Linked DNA regions of Arabidopsis thaliana. The protein of the gene in region 1 interacts with the protein of each later gene in a pairwise test. Each region holds a gene or a part of one and is shown on either strand. Other genes may lie near its edges.

Evidence for each region.
Region 2: the proteins of SMC5 (region 1) and HPY2 interact in a two-hybrid assay, tested with the Arabidopsis thaliana proteins (one study listed by BioGRID).

What each region holds. Positions count from the first base shown.
Region 1 is NC_003076.8:5,191,094-5,198,564, forward strand, and holds the start of SMC5 (structural maintenance of chromosomes 5), read left to right. Parts: upstream 1-4,499; 5' UTR 4,500-4,663; intron 4,664-5,073; 5' UTR 5,074-5,116; coding exon 5,117-7,471. Other genes in the region: TBL19 (TRICHOME BIREFRINGENCE-LIKE 19), read right to left, coding at 501-1,034; AT5G15910 (NAD(P)-binding Rossmann-fold superfamily protein), read left to right, coding at 2,114-2,172, 2,401-2,470, 2,746-2,834, 2,926-2,981, 3,082-3,137, 3,210-3,303, 3,458-3,537, 3,623-3,665 and 2 more. UniProt on the Arabidopsis thaliana protein: Core component of the SMC5-SMC6 complex that promotes sister chromatid alignment after DNA damage and facilitates double-stranded DNA breaks (DSBs) repair via homologous recombination between sister chromatids.
Region 2 is NC_003074.8:5,100,417-5,107,887, reverse strand, and holds HPY2 (RING/U-box superfamily protein), read left to right. Parts: upstream 1-3,728; 5' UTR 3,729-3,805; coding exon 3,806-3,895; intron 3,896-4,117; coding exon 4,118-4,189; intron 4,190-4,549; coding exon 4,550-4,660; intron 4,661-4,754; coding exon 4,755-4,865; intron 4,866-4,954; coding exon 4,955-5,094; intron 5,095-5,359; coding exon 5,360-5,442; intron 5,443-5,535; coding exon 5,536-5,678; 3' UTR 5,679-6,044; downstream 6,045-7,471. Other genes in the region: AT3G15160 (AP-5 complex subunit zeta-1), read right to left, coding at 65-209, 314-441, 507-554, 718-789, 1,010-1,086, 1,186-1,333, 1,503-1,649, 1,729-1,826 and 6 more; AT3G15140 (Polynucleotidyl transferase, ribonuclease H-like superfamily protein), read left to right, coding at 6,171-6,449, 6,746-6,948, 7,216-7,296. UniProt on the Arabidopsis thaliana protein: E3 SUMO-protein ligase that modulates cell cycle progression and functions as a repressor of endocycle onset in meristems. May function downstream of the meristem patterning transcription factors PLETHORA 1 and 2 (PLT1 and PLT2) in root meristem development.

The DNA.
Region 1 (7,471 bases):
CAAAAGTATATAACTTCTACTAATAATTAAATCATTTACAATGTGAGTCTATGACCTAATGATTCGAGTTATAGAAGCTCATCGATTAGAATGTTACTTCGAAGTAAAGAGTGGTTATATGATATTCTTTGATGCATGAGTACTAAAATATGATTTACTAAGTTTAATGCGTTATTTTGCCCGTTAAACTTAGAATTATTAAAAGAAGGTTTTAATGACCAAAAAGGAGAGTTTGATGAAATATAATACTCCGATATGTTTACATCATATATTAGATTTCTTATTTTAGAAAATCGAAATTTATGCTAGCAAACGAAAAGATTAACTTTAATTTGTAAAAAATTAAAAGCCATATATGTTCATAAAAAAAAAGGAGAAATATTATTAACAAACAAATGTTTTTTTTTTGTTGATGGTTATCAAGATATCATTCTAGATATTCAATAAAAGGCAAACAAAAAAACAAACAAGAAAAACTAATGTAAGAAAAAAGGTGTTACCTGAGAAAGAAGGCAGATCAAAGACTGCATGTGGTTTCTGCTAACTGAGTCACCAACAAACGCCATGGTTTTACCTCTCACGATCTCAAGAAACCTAACCGGGTCAAATACCGGCAAGCCGTCTTCGCACCCGTAAGGTTTCCATTTCCATTTGATGAAATCCGTGTCGGGTCTTCCAAACTTCATGCAATTTTGGTGTTCGTGTATCGCCCAGCACGTCGTGTTGGTGTAGTAAGGTGCCTCAGGGTTAGGAACCCACTCTCCCGAGAATATGTCGCAGCTGTCATGTGATGTTACAACACCGTTTTCGAGGTTGATGATGCTGCTTTGGCTTGGAGGTTGTTGCTTGAGGAAGAAGTTAGGGTCTTCAAGCAAAGGGTAGAGAAGAGGGATGATGGTTAAAAGAGATGTAGCAATGGTCACTGCGATGAGTAGCTTTTGTTTACATGGAAATGTTGCAGAATGAACAAGCTCCATTGAAGGAAAGATAGAGAGAGACAGAGAAAGAAGGAGAGATTTTGAGAGAGAAAGCATACAAAGATTATACCAGAGTAATTGGGACTCGATTTGTTTATAAGTTGTGAATTATTTCAAATCATGAAATTTTGTGAATTTTTCTTCTATGTTAGAACAAAAAGAGTAGGTGTCACATCTAAATTATGAGTTATTATTATTGCAAAATAGCTAACTGAAAATTTTAAAGTGATCAATCAAACAATAAATTCACAATGTGATGACTATTCCGCTAATTTGGACGTTTTTTGTCGGCAATTTGGACGTTTAAGTGATATTTAATTCTGTAACACATGTAATTAGTGTTTAGCTAGGTTGTTAACTATGCAATTGTCACAATATAATTTTTTTTTTTAAAACATGCATTGTGTTGTATAAATCTAAATGATAACACAATGCCGGAAATATTACAATTCACTAGGCTATGTCTTGGTCATAATTTGCTTAACTAGTACTTATGATTTTTTCAACAATTCATATTTTTGATTATACAGTATCAAGTTATTATTATGCACTTTCCAACTGTTACGAACAAGTTTAGTATATGAATTTGAGAGTTAAAACAAACATATGAGCTTCTTCACCCATGTGGATTCATTTTGGTTTGTCGTTATAATTTAACCAAAAGGTAAGCAAACATTTTCTGTTTTATCTTATCTTAAACAAAAATTTCTGAATCGAGTCAGTATACCAATTGCACTAACAAGTATACACTATGATTCTTTATTATATGTCAAAACGGTCTAATAAGTAAAATTGAATGTGAGTAACATCTAAGAAACACTGAATCGCTGCAGCGTTGTTTGTTGTTCTCAGTTTCTTGAGTGTTTCTTATTCTATTCAATGTTTTAGTTTTTTATTCATGATGACACGTGGATAGTCTACGTGGAAGCTAGAACGCCACAATCGTCTCCACAGTTGTGATTGTGAAAGGTCTCTTTTTTTTTTTCCCGAAGATCTCGACTTCACGACTCATGATTCCACAAAGTTTTTAAGAATTCTGCAGTTTCAGATTTATAATCGCTTGCCTAAGTTTCAATTCATCTTCATTCCGGGAGAAAAAGTCGCGATACTTGAGCTACTCAGCTTTAGGGTTTAACATGTTAAGGTCTCTGATTTGGAAACGATCACAGGCATATTCTTCAGTCGTCACGATGTCGTGAGTTCTTCTTCTAAGGCCTTTCGAATTCTATAGAACTGTTTTTCGAATAAAGCATTGATCTTTATTGCTGCCAGAGACGAATGAATCACTTGTAGGGATTTTCATTTTGGGGACATAGTCTCTGACCCAACACTTGATATTACTGAATTGTGTGATTTCTTCATAAAATCATTGACAATGTTGCATATACTGATGATGGTCTTCTTGTCTTTATCTCTTTGGCAGTTCAATCAGTCAGAGAGGAAATGAAAGGCTTTTGTCTGAAGTCGCTGGTTCACATTCAAGAGATAATAAGGTAATAGACAATAACTCTCTCATTGCTTTTGAGTCTCATGAGACTTTGTGATAAGAGAGTTCCTCAAATCCGATTGCTACATCAGACAATTAGTTAGGAATATAATCAGTTGAAATAAGAGTGTAGAGTTTTCTATGGTTACGGGGTTGTTGTTTGGAAGTCTCTGGTTTGTATCTCTGTTTGTGTGTTTCATATGTGCAATATAAAGAAACTTGATCACAAACTGTCTCCCTCTCTTTCGCTGTATCTATTACAGTATTTTGTCTTGAATGCAGATATTGGTTTTGGGAGGAAATGGTTATGTAGGTTCACACATATGTAAGGAGGCACTGAGACAAGGTTTCTCTGTATCTAGTCTTAGCAGGTATTTGTATCATTACCGGTTTTAAATCTGATTTAGTACTCATAGACTGTCTCTTCGTAGCTTAACCTTTAGTCTTTGAACTGTTTATTAGGTCTGGAAGATCTTCTCTTCACGATTCGTGGGTCGATGATGTAACCTGGCATCAAGGTATTCCCAACATCTGAAAACACATTTTCAATTTGTTCATCATTTATGAACAAAAGACTTCGATGATTCACTCGATTTCTGTTTTCTACTAAAAAAATAGGTGATTTGCTTTCACCCGATTCTCTGAAGCCTGCACTAGAAGGAATTACATCTGTGGTAATTAAGAAATCTTCTTAAAAGGTACTTCATCATATGGTTCCTTCGCATCTCTGATGGAAACTTGTGCAGATTTCATGTGTTGGTGGTTTTGGTTCCAACTCACAAATGGTCAGAATTAACGGTACTGCAAACATCAATGCTGTTAAAGCTGCAGCAGAACAAGGTAAACAACTAAACATTCATAGATTTCTTGTGTTGTATGGGGATGAGAGAAAACTCAAATTGTTGAGTTATCTGCAAAAATATATAGATAAGGTTTTTGTGGCTTGTTGTTCTTTGGCAAACTAACAGAAAAGCGGCTTATATATTCTGTTTAGGTGTGAAGAGATTTGTGTATATATCAGCTGCGGATTTTGGTGTCATAAATAACTTGATTCGAGGATATTTCGAAGGGAAGGTACTTATTCTTATTCTTTGTCTTCTTGGTTTTTGTTCTTAGTTATTTACATATCTCTTTGATCAATTTATCTATCTATTTTCAGAGAGCAACCGAAGCTGAGATTTTGGATAAATTTGGAAACAGAGGTGTGTAAATTCTCACTTTTAATCAAAAACTCCATTTCTATATACATGCGTGTTCACTGATAAGTCGTTGTTTTTTCCTCTGCTTTCGAAGGTTCGGTTTTAAGGCCAGGATTCATACATGGGACTCGTCAGGTCGGTAGCATAAAGCTGCCACTTAGTCTCATTGGAGCTCCTCTCGAAATGGTAAAACACGATTTGCATCAATCTTGGTAATCTTTAGGTGAAAGTAAGAATCTTTTTTTTTTTATCTCAAAAACATTATATCATTTACAGGTTTTGAAGCTGTTGCCAAAAGAGGTGACGAAAATTCCTGTGATCGGGCCACTTTTAATACCTCCGGTCAATGTCAAATCCGTTGCAGCAACAGCGGTAAAAGCTGCAGTTGATCCCGAGTTTGCTTCTGGAGTCATCGATGTGTACCGGATTCTTCAACATGGTCACTGAAAACAACACCTGTCTTAACAAAGTTCTCCTCAATACGGTTTTAAATGTCAAATTCAAATGTAACCAATAACCATCGTCTCTGGTCTTCTGCTACCAAATAAACTATGACTTTCGCATATTACACAATAGGAGAACAAATAATGAAATCTTTTTGAAACTGGAACCAATAACCATCGTCATTAGAGATTCAACTTTTTTGGTTTGTTTTGATAATCTTCCAATGTCAAGACTCAAGAGCTTCCACACAAAAAAAAAGGGGCCTATGAATCTGTAAACCGGGTTTTTATTTAATAACCGGACTTAATGAGTCGATTTTAATTTTAAAACGAGTTGAATTTGAACCGGCGTCAAGGTTTTAAAAGGCTAACCTAGAGAGAGAGAGTGTGCTTTGGTCGTCGTGCTTCTCTTTTCCCGGGTTTTCGCTTTTTCATGGTTTCACTTTCAGCTCTGCAAACAAACTGAAAAATCGCAATTCAGATAGAGTCTAGGGTTTATCCTCGTATGGTTCAATTCCGCGCTCCATATTTCAATTTCGGCTAAATTCACTTGTTCAGGTCTGTTTTCCTTCTCGATTTCGGAAATTCAACTTTGTTTGTTAGCAAATCGAATTGTCTATTCTTCTTTTGGGGTTCGTTTTTCAGCGTTCTCTTTTATTTTCCGTCTCTGTCTTGTTCGTAAGTTGATTTCGCTATTAAAAAATTTGATTTTTTTTTGGTTTTACTGTTCATTTTCCAGTCATAGGGTTTATGTTGGAGAGAAAGGCTAATGCGAAACTGATGATTGCTTGTGATTTGAGATTGTTACTAGAAGTTTCTGTTTGATTAGATTTTAGTTTTCAATTCTTCAATTTTGGTTTTAGGGTTAGCTTTTGCACTGTCCAGATTCTAAATTTTTTAAGTTTCTAATTTTCGATTCTACATTGTTTCCCTGTTGGATTTCATACGAAAGTTTCAATTTTTTTCAGGTTAACTCAGTAAAAATCTCTGAACCGCTGAGAAACGACAAAGATGTCTGAACGTCGTGCTAAGCGTCCTAAAATCTCCAGAGGAGAAGATGACTTTTTGCCTGGGAATATAATCGAAATCGAGCTTCACAACTTCATGACATTCAATCACTTGGTATGCAAACCTGGATCACGTTTGAACCTTGTTATTGGACCTAACGGATCAGGTAAGAGTTCTCTTGTCTGTGCCATTGCACTCTGTCTTGGTGGTGAGCCTCAGCTTCTTGGGAGAGCTACTAGTGTTGGAGCATATGTTAAGCGTGGGGAAGATTCTGGCTATGTCAAGATCTCTTTGAGAGGTAACACCAGGGAAGAAAATCTTACGATTTTTCGTAAGATCGATACACGTAACAAGTCTGAGTGGATGTTTAATGGAAGCACAGTTAGTAAGAAAGATATTGTGGAGATAATACAGAAATTCAACATTCAAGTTAACAATCTCACGCAGTTCCTGCCACAAGATAGGGTTTGCGAGTTTGCCAAGTTAACTCCTGTGCAACTCCTGGAGGAGACGGAAAAAGCTGTTGGGGATCCTCAACTGCCAGTCCATCATCGCGCGCTAGTTGAGAAAAGCCGTGATCTGAAGCAGCTTGAGAGAGCTGTGGCGAAAAATGGAGAGACGCTGAATCAGCTTAAAGCTCTTGTTGATGAGCAAGAGAAGGACGTGGAGCGTGTTAGGCAGAGAGAGTTGTTTTTGACTAAGGTTGATTCCATGAAGAAGAAATTGCCATGGCTAAAGTATGATATGAAAAAAGCTGAGTACATGGATGCTAAGAAGAGAATGAAGGAAGCCGAGAAAAAATTGGATGAAGCTGCAAAGAATTTGAACAGCATGAAGGAACCTATAGAAAAGCAAAAGAAGGAGAAAGCAGAGACAGATTCAAAATGCAAAAAAGTTAAGAATCTCATGGATGCAAATGGAAGAAACCGTTGTCACTTGCTCGAGAAAGAAGATGAGGCAGACGCACGTGTAGTGGCAACGTACAAAGAACTGGAGGAATTGAAGAAACAAGAAGAGCATCGTCAAGAAAGGATTCTGAAAGCTACTGAGGATCTCGTTGCTGCGGAACGGGAACTCCAAAACCTGCCTGTATACGAACGTCCTGTAGCCAAACTTGAAGAATTGAGCTCTCAGGTTACAGAGCTGCATCATAGCATTAACGGAAAGAAGAATCAGAAGGAGGACAACGAGAAGCTTTTGTCTCAGAAGAGATACACCCTGAGGCAATGCGTAGATAAGTTAAAGGACATGGAGAATGCAAATAACAAACTCTTGAAAGCGTTAGCTAACTCTGGAGCTGATAGGATATTTGACGCATATCAATGGGTGCAACAGAATCGTCATGAGTTTAAAAGGGAAGTATATGGTCCTGTTTTGGTGGAGGTTAACGTTCCAAATCGAGAGAACGCTTGCTTTTTGGAGGGTCATGTTTCTTTTTATATCTGGAAGTCTTTTATCACTCAGGATCCGGAGGACCGTGATTTGCTGGTTAAAAATTTAAAACGATTTGATGTTCCTGTTCTAAACTATGTGGGCAATAGCGGCAATCAAAAGGCTCCCTTTCATATTTCTGATCAGATGCGTTCTCTTGGGATCCATGCTCGGCTTGATCAAATATTTGATGCTCCTGATGCCGTCAAGGAGGTTTTAAATTCCCAGTTTGGTCTGGAGGACTCGTACATTGGATCAAAGATTACCGATCAGAGGGCTGAAGAAGTCTATAAGTTGGGTATTAAAGATTTTTGGACCCCAGACAATCACTACCGGTGGTCTTCCTCAAGATATGGTGGTCATTCCTCTGCAAGTGTAGATTCTGTATATCAATCACGTCTTCTATTATGTGGGGTGGACGTTGGAGAGCTTGAGAAACTGAGATCAAGAAAGGAGGAATTAGAAGACTCTATTTTATTCATGGAGGAAACTCACAAGAGTCTTCAAACAGAGCAAAGACGTTTGGAAGAAGAAGCAGCTAAACTTCATAAAGAGAGGGAGGAGATTGTAAATGTTTCGTATCTGGAGAAGAAAAAACGCCGTGAGTTGGAATCCCGTTACCAGCAAAGGAAGACAAAGCTGGAATCTTTAGAGCAAGAGGAGGACATGGATGCTTCAGTTGCTAAGCTGATTGATCAGGCTTCCAGAGCTAACGCTGACCGCTATACATATGCAATCAATCTCAAGAAATTACTTGTGGAGGCTGTTGCTCATAAGTGGAGTTACGCCGAGAAGCATATGGCTTCTATAGAATTGGAAAGAAAGATCAGAGAGTCGGAAATCAATATCAAACAATATGAGAAAACGGCACAACAGCTATCTCTCGCCGTTGAGTATTGTAAGAAAGAGGTAGAAGGAAAGCAGCAG
Region 2 (7,471 bases), on another chromosome or scaffold:
AGATGTTTAGTAATCAACTAATCATTGGTAAGTGCATTAATAGATTCAATTATTTCCTGTGTACCTTTCCCAAGGCGACGCGGGCTCTTGGTAATAATTCTCGGTGATATGTTGCGAGCTTTGCGATAGCTGTCACTACAAAACACAGAAGTCTTGACTGTGTTGTTCTTCTTGAACCATTCCCAGATTCTTGCCTCAAACCTAGGCGGCTTTTTTGGTCGTTGGAAACAAATAGGGAAAACATTGTAATTACCATTTATGTTTTCTGTCCAAGAAAGCAGATTGATGATACACAAACAAAAGTTTGTAATACCTTGATGAGAGATTCTCATATACAAGCAACTCTAAACTTTCAAAAAGCTCTCGAGCAGCTTCCTTGTGAGATTCTCCCCCACCACCATACTCTCCAATTGCCCAACATAGCTGTAAGGCTAACTCTCTCTACGGAAGAAAATGCTTAGAGGAGATTATCTTACAAAGCATCCGTCTAAATATTAGAAACTGACCTTTGCAACATCATCGTAAGCTTCCCCAAGTCGGTCAATAATAGGCTTCTGTATTATTTAAGAAGTTGAGAATGCATATCTTGCAAATTACTCGAGAAAATAAGCGGTAATCATAAGACTATGTATCTAATAATGCACTGTGAAATCTTCTTATCTAAATTCTAAAGCTATTACTCGCACAAAAAAATAAAATAAAATAGGCAGACATTACTTTCAACAGGGCAATGAAATTTGGAGACCTCTGAAATGCAGCTAGTACAAATTCCAGTAGCCTCCTACGGATCTGTGTACGCAAACAATATCTCTGTAAGATAACGTCCAATATGGCAGTGATACAGGTCTATACACTAAAACGTCAAAATAGCATTGGCATTTCTGAAGAAATATTAATGGACGCTACACTCATATCTAGAGGAGAGAAATCAATAAACATTGTCAATTAGCCTGTTCTAATGATTTTCTAAGGAAAGTCTTCAGAAAAACAATACAGAAGATGCGTGTACCTCATGAGAAAAAATCTTATCCGGAAACATTGTAGAGTTTCTTGTCATGAGTAGAGGGATTAAAGCACAGATCAGAGCTGCAAAAGATAAAGTTGTCAACGGCCTAACTAAGTTGGAAATTGACTTATATTCCTTTAGCAACTAAAACAAACTAGGAAGGCTGTAAATTATCTTACAGTCATTTGCATCTCGCAATGTAACACTAAAGTAGACATCAAGAAGTCGGGGAGCAATCTTAAGAGTCTGCTTCATCCTCTCTGACCGAGGACCACTTGCAGCAGCCTGCAGCGCTGCATTCAATGTAGGAGAAGCGCGGTGTCTTTCCTGCAGCACAAATTTGACAAAATACTTTCAGTTTGTCTAATATATCAGACAGTTTAAAAAACTACCAACTTTCACATAGGCCCTAAATTTTTACTAATAGACAATTATTATATAAAACTGTTTCTGTTGAGTTTTTGGAATAAAGCAAAGCCAGAGGAAGGATGCATACCGCTAGACCATCATTTTCGTCCTTCAGAAGCTCCAGAAACAGAGGATCAGCTACATCTATTGTATTGTTATCTTCAGATTCAGAGTCATCCCCTCCATCCCCGATGGTTGAACCAGTATATGCTTCATCCATAAGGGCAAGAAGCATCTGCATTCACAGGTATCCTTGTCATTCATTGACTATCTAAGAACTGTCATATGGTTTATGTTTTTATGAGATATAAGACCTCCGGAGCTGCACTCTTCTGAATTGAAGCAATGCTACCTCCAACCCTTGACCCCGACCCCGAGCTCCTTTCCACCTTTTCTAATGCCACGACCAATACTAGCAAAAATATTAACAAGAAGATACATAATTAGTACACAGTACACTCGTAAACTCAATCAGGCTGAGAGAATAAAGTCCAAGCATCAATGGAGAAATACCAAACAAGCTCAAAACAATGGAAACCAGTCAGCTTACAAATACATCTTAGTACAGTTGGAGTCATCCAAGTGGTCTCCAAATTAGAGTACAAACAAATATATGAAGTCGAGTAGCATTTTTTAGACAAGCGGACTCACTTGGCAAGTCTACAATGGATGGAAACAGAGGAAGAAATGACCCAGGTGATATCAGTCCTGGAAATATCTTCAGGAAGGACTTCTCCAACCTGAAATTAGAACAAAGAAAATTTATTTCCTTGAGATAATTGTTCAAATCACTTGTGCATATTTTCAGCTTACTTCTCCCAATTCCAGGCAATGAGCTTAAGCAACAACGGGAAAAACTGCAAATACAATTTCTTGAATTAGATAGAGATATAATATATCTGTTATGGCTTAATTGTTCAAGCGGTGGAAATGTAAATGGACACAAATTAAGAAAGATGAAAGCAGAAGGAACAGCTAGATTGCATAAAGCTATAAGGACAGAAAGATACAGTTCTATTACATATGTTGATGCACACAGTAATAACACAATAAATAGAGGCACTTTACTAATTAAGAGAGTAATCTTCTTGAGACTGAAAGCTAAAAGAAAGTTTAAGGATTTATATGGCTAGTCATTCCAGTTAATACCTGAGGGAGTAAGTTTGGGAAAGATGCTAAGAGCTTTCTTTGGTTCACAACAAGGAATTCACAAGTTGCCTCTGCCACAGCGGCATCTGAGAACTCACTACAAAGAAAATCATGATCATATCAGCAAAATTTATCTACATAAACGCATAGTAGCACACATCTCAGAGCACAGAGCCACAACAAGACCCAGTCAAGACATAAAAGGTAGTCCATACCGGCTAAGACATGAGCGGAAGAATGTCCTCAAACTTGGGTCAGAATCGTGCAGAACCATATCCCCAAAATCAAGAAAAAACTGAAGAATGGCCTAAACACACAAACACAGAATCCTTAATACACACTAGAACCCAAAACGTAAAAAAACAAACTTTCATCTGAAATTCTTCAGGGAGAATAATGTACTAGCAAGAGAAGGCCTTTGGACGCCCCTGACTCGGACTGAGATAGTGAAGCAACCGAACGATGGAAGACTTTATTGAATTGTGGATAAATTCTAGCCACAAGATCATCTGATTTCTCCATTTTACAGAACCCATGCAGCTTCTTCACCTAATCCATATACATTCAAACAAAACGAAAGCAATGTATCACTTAATACCAGTCTCAAGCCAATTCTCAATAAATGGACAAAAGATGCGTACTGATTGTAGTATAGATGGATCAGAAGCAGGATCCGTAGAATCCCGCGCGCTGTTGCTTAGGATTCTGAGGTAAAAATCCCAGTCTCCTTCTTGATCACTCATGTTCTCAATCAAAAAGAAGATCACTAGAAAAAATTCATATGATATGATGATGGATGAAGAAGTTTCAGCTTCGGCGACTCCAGAGTCCCGGAGAAAGAGGATTGGAAAGAAGACGACGTCGTTTATTCAAAGATCTATATCCTTAAACTACATGCCATCTCTTCTTGTCCACATGTCGTTTATAGTAGCATAAGACGGCACACAGTTTATCAAGCAAACCCCCTAGACGGGCTATGGATTGGCTGCGGCCTTTTTATAGCTTGTTGCAGCGATACGACATCGTTTGGCCAGTACGACTTCGTTCGGCCGGTACGACTTGTCTTCTTCACGTTTTCTAATAGGATTAATTAACTACGTGTCGCTTATAGTAGCATAAGACGGCACGCATTTTATTCAGCAAACCTCCGTATATCGCAGGCTCTCTCACTCTTTCCGTCTTCTGATTTCTCCCTCCAAAACAAACCTCGGAAGAGAAAATTGGAGCGAAGGAGCGATAGATATGGCGTCGGCGTCCTCGTCTGACGGAGTTGCCGGAAGGATTCAGAACGCTTCTTTGGTTCTTGTCTCCGATAACAGTTCCACGCTTGCTGTGAGTATTTTCGTTCAAACCAAATTCACTCTTTTTTTTTTTTGATGTAAATATAGGTTTCTGAGAAGTTCCTGAAATCTTTCCTCCGAGATGTTAACAGATAGGAGCTTCGGCTTATAATGGGTTTGACTAGTTAGAAGTGAACAAGGGATTTCTAATTTGGGCAAAATTTATAGCCTAGAATCTGCTTTATCTCGTATCTGTTTTTACTTTTATTTGCAGGATATCCGCAAAGCTGTGGCAATGATGAAGAACATTGCAGTTCAATTGGAGAAAGAAAATCAAACGGACAAGGTTGGTTATTATTTTGTCTGATATGAGAGGAAGCGTTTTCAGGGATAAACGCACTTGTAGCCGTTTTACATTTTTTTTTTTTGCTACAATGTAGAGTAGTTTCATTCATCTCCTTGAGTTTTTGTATTGGCTAATCATAAGTGACCTTATCTTAAACTTGTGGGAACTGCCTAGACTTTCTTCTAATGTGATTGATTCTTGGTTAATTGCATTGCTGTAAAACTTGTTATCACGTATCTCTTTCATTCTGACATTGTATTATTGTCTGCTCTTGCCAACACTCTTTCCTTGATGTCTGTCTTTGTTTTTCTTAAATGCTCTTTATATATGCTCTTCATTTTTATATTTTGGGTTCCACAGGTTAAGGACCTTGAAAATTCTGTGGCTGAGTTATTGGATTTGCATAGTGATTGTAATCACCGTTCGACAGCAATTCAATCCGTTGCAAATCGGTACCAACCCGTGGAACAAGTACTCACTTTCCCTCTTTCATGTGTTATCTAATTTCTTATTCGGTTGCATACTTTTAGATGTAGCAAATTGATTTTTACTCTAATGACTGCAGTTAACGGACTTTAAAAAGTTGCTTGATGATGAATTCACAAAGCTCAAGGCTACACCTTCCTCAGTGCCACAAAATGATCATTTGATGCGCCAGTTCAGGGAAGCAGTTTGGGTATGTTTTTAACTTAAAGTTCTTGGCTTGTATCTAATAGGTCTATAGTCCGATTTCCTTTTTAAGTTATTGTCAATGTTTTGCTGCAGAATGTTCATCATGCAGGTGAACCAATGCCTGGTGACGATGATGAGGACATTGTTATGACCAGTACTCAGTGCCCTCTTCTAAACATGACATGTCCCTTGAGCGGGAAGCCTGTCACTGAATTAGCAGATCCAGTTCGCAGGTACAATGGATGTTTCTTGTCTTTTTTCCCTTAACTTGGATGTCTTGTTTTGTTCGGACGATTTGCTTGTCCTCTCCCATGCCTGATGTCTATGTAGGATGATCCTCAAAAGCCATATTCAGTCGATACTGACTTCTTTCTATACATGACCATAAAGCTTGAATATGATTTCATCTTTCGTGTAGCAGTAGAACTAATCAAATAATAATATACAATTGTGCGGTGAACTGATACCATGTCTCTCTGATCCTTTTTATGGTTGCAGTATGGATTGCAGGCACGTCTATGAAAAATCTGTAATCCTGCATTACATAGTCAACAATCCAAATGCGAATTGTCCTGTAGCAGGTAAAATAGTTCTTGCTCAAAAACATCTTTAGACACCATTACTTTGTTCTTTCATGCTGATTTGTCATTTGTATGACCTCTTGAAATCCTCAGGGTGCCGAGGTAAACTGCAGAATAGCAAAGTGATTTGTGATGCAATGTTGAAGTTTGAAATAGAGGAGATGCGCTCGTTGAACAAACAATCTAATAGGGCTGAAGTGATTGAAGACTTCACAGAAGATGTGGATGAAGATTAGAGATCAGACATTTCTTGGACCGGGTTTTAAGCGCTGCAATGAAACAAGTTGAAGCCATATGTTTCACAACTTTTTGCTATTCTTAGTCCGTTCGGTATATTTTATCAAACGTGAAATTTGATACCAATTGTTTCCACTTTATGGAGGATGTAAATAGTCGATCTCTTCCGATTCTGAATTCAACTGCTGTTTTTTTTGCCAAGTTTACGTTCATTTCCTGAGGCTAGTCAAAGCTTAATTTCATTTCTTGTAGTCAGAATTTTCGATTTAGTACCATTATTAGGTCTACTCGGTTTATTAGTTTTTCATGGTATGGTTTGGCATTGGTTAAGAGTTTGTGTGGATATAAATCCAGTTTGGTTTTCAAATTCAATTTTTGGTTCGATTTGAATTGGTTACTAAAACAAACTAAAGGCTTTTAGCTTCCCAGTTCCCAGTCCCTGTACTCGAAAGGAAGATCTTCATCTTCAATCTTCATGCTAATCGACGAAAATGGCGTCCGCATTCTCTGCATTTAGGGTTTCGTTGTCCAGAATCAGTCCTTTCCGTGATACCCGGTTCTCTTATCCCGCCACGTTGGCTTTAGCTCATACCAAACGAATCATGTGCAACTCTTCGCATTCTGTATCTCCATCTCCTTCTCCCTCTGACTTTTCTTCTTCTTCTTCTTCTTCTTCTTCTTCTCCTTCTACTTTTTCGTTAATGGAAACAAGTGAAAATGCAAGGTGGAGACCCATGTGCTTGTATTACACCCACGGAAAGTGTACAAAGGTAAACACTTTGCTACTCGTCGTTCTTTTTAAATTTAGTTTTTGCTACAGCGGAATGCGGAATTAAATTCCATTTCTTTATTGATTGGTTCCTGCTCCGTATGCTTGTTCGAAAACAAGTGATGCGAAATTTGAATCAACTATGCAATGTCTGCGACCTGTTCGATGGAATGTCTGAACGAGATTGGAACTTGTTTATTGTTTGTGTCTCGATCGTTACATTGTTATTCTTTACTAGTTTTTTATACCTAAATAATCGTGAATGATGGGTAATAAAGTTTATGTTGATGATATCAGATGGATGATCCTGCCCATTTGGAGATTTTTAACCACGATTGTTCAAAGGAACTTCGAGTGGCTGCTGCTGATCTTGAGAGAAAGAAGTCACAAGAATTCAATTTTTTCTTGGTTATTGACTTGGAAGGAAAAGTTGAGATTCTTGAGTTTCCTATTTTGATCGTAGATGCCAAAACCATGGAAGTCGTAGACTTATTCCACAGGTCATAACAGCTTCCTATCTTTAATGGCATTACTTTTCTTAACAATCGTAAGGTCTTTGGCTGTTTGGATGGTTGATTTTGTGTCATTGGAGTAAGAACTGTTAGTGAGTTGTTTAGACATAAGAAGACCTCAGAAATTTATTTTCTTTCAGAATGTTATTGGTCATAGCTAGATACCACAATGTTAATTATTGCTTGTTCTCTAATAATTTTACTCCTCAATTTTACAATGTGGTTGATTATTTGTTCTCTATACTTCTTCATAAGGTTTGTAAGACCCACCAAAATGAGCGAGCAAGCAATTAACAAATACATCGAAGGCAAGTATGGGGAACTCGGGGTTGATCGGTATGCTACTACTATCTTACTTCTAGGTGTAGATATATTTATATGGCTACAATGCTTGTTATGTTTTCTGTCTAGTTGCACTAGTCAATCCTTAATGCATGCGTTACCAAATGCTATAATTGACTACTCTGCTAAGTATGATAATCCTAAGAATTGGTTTAGAGTCCACACTCCA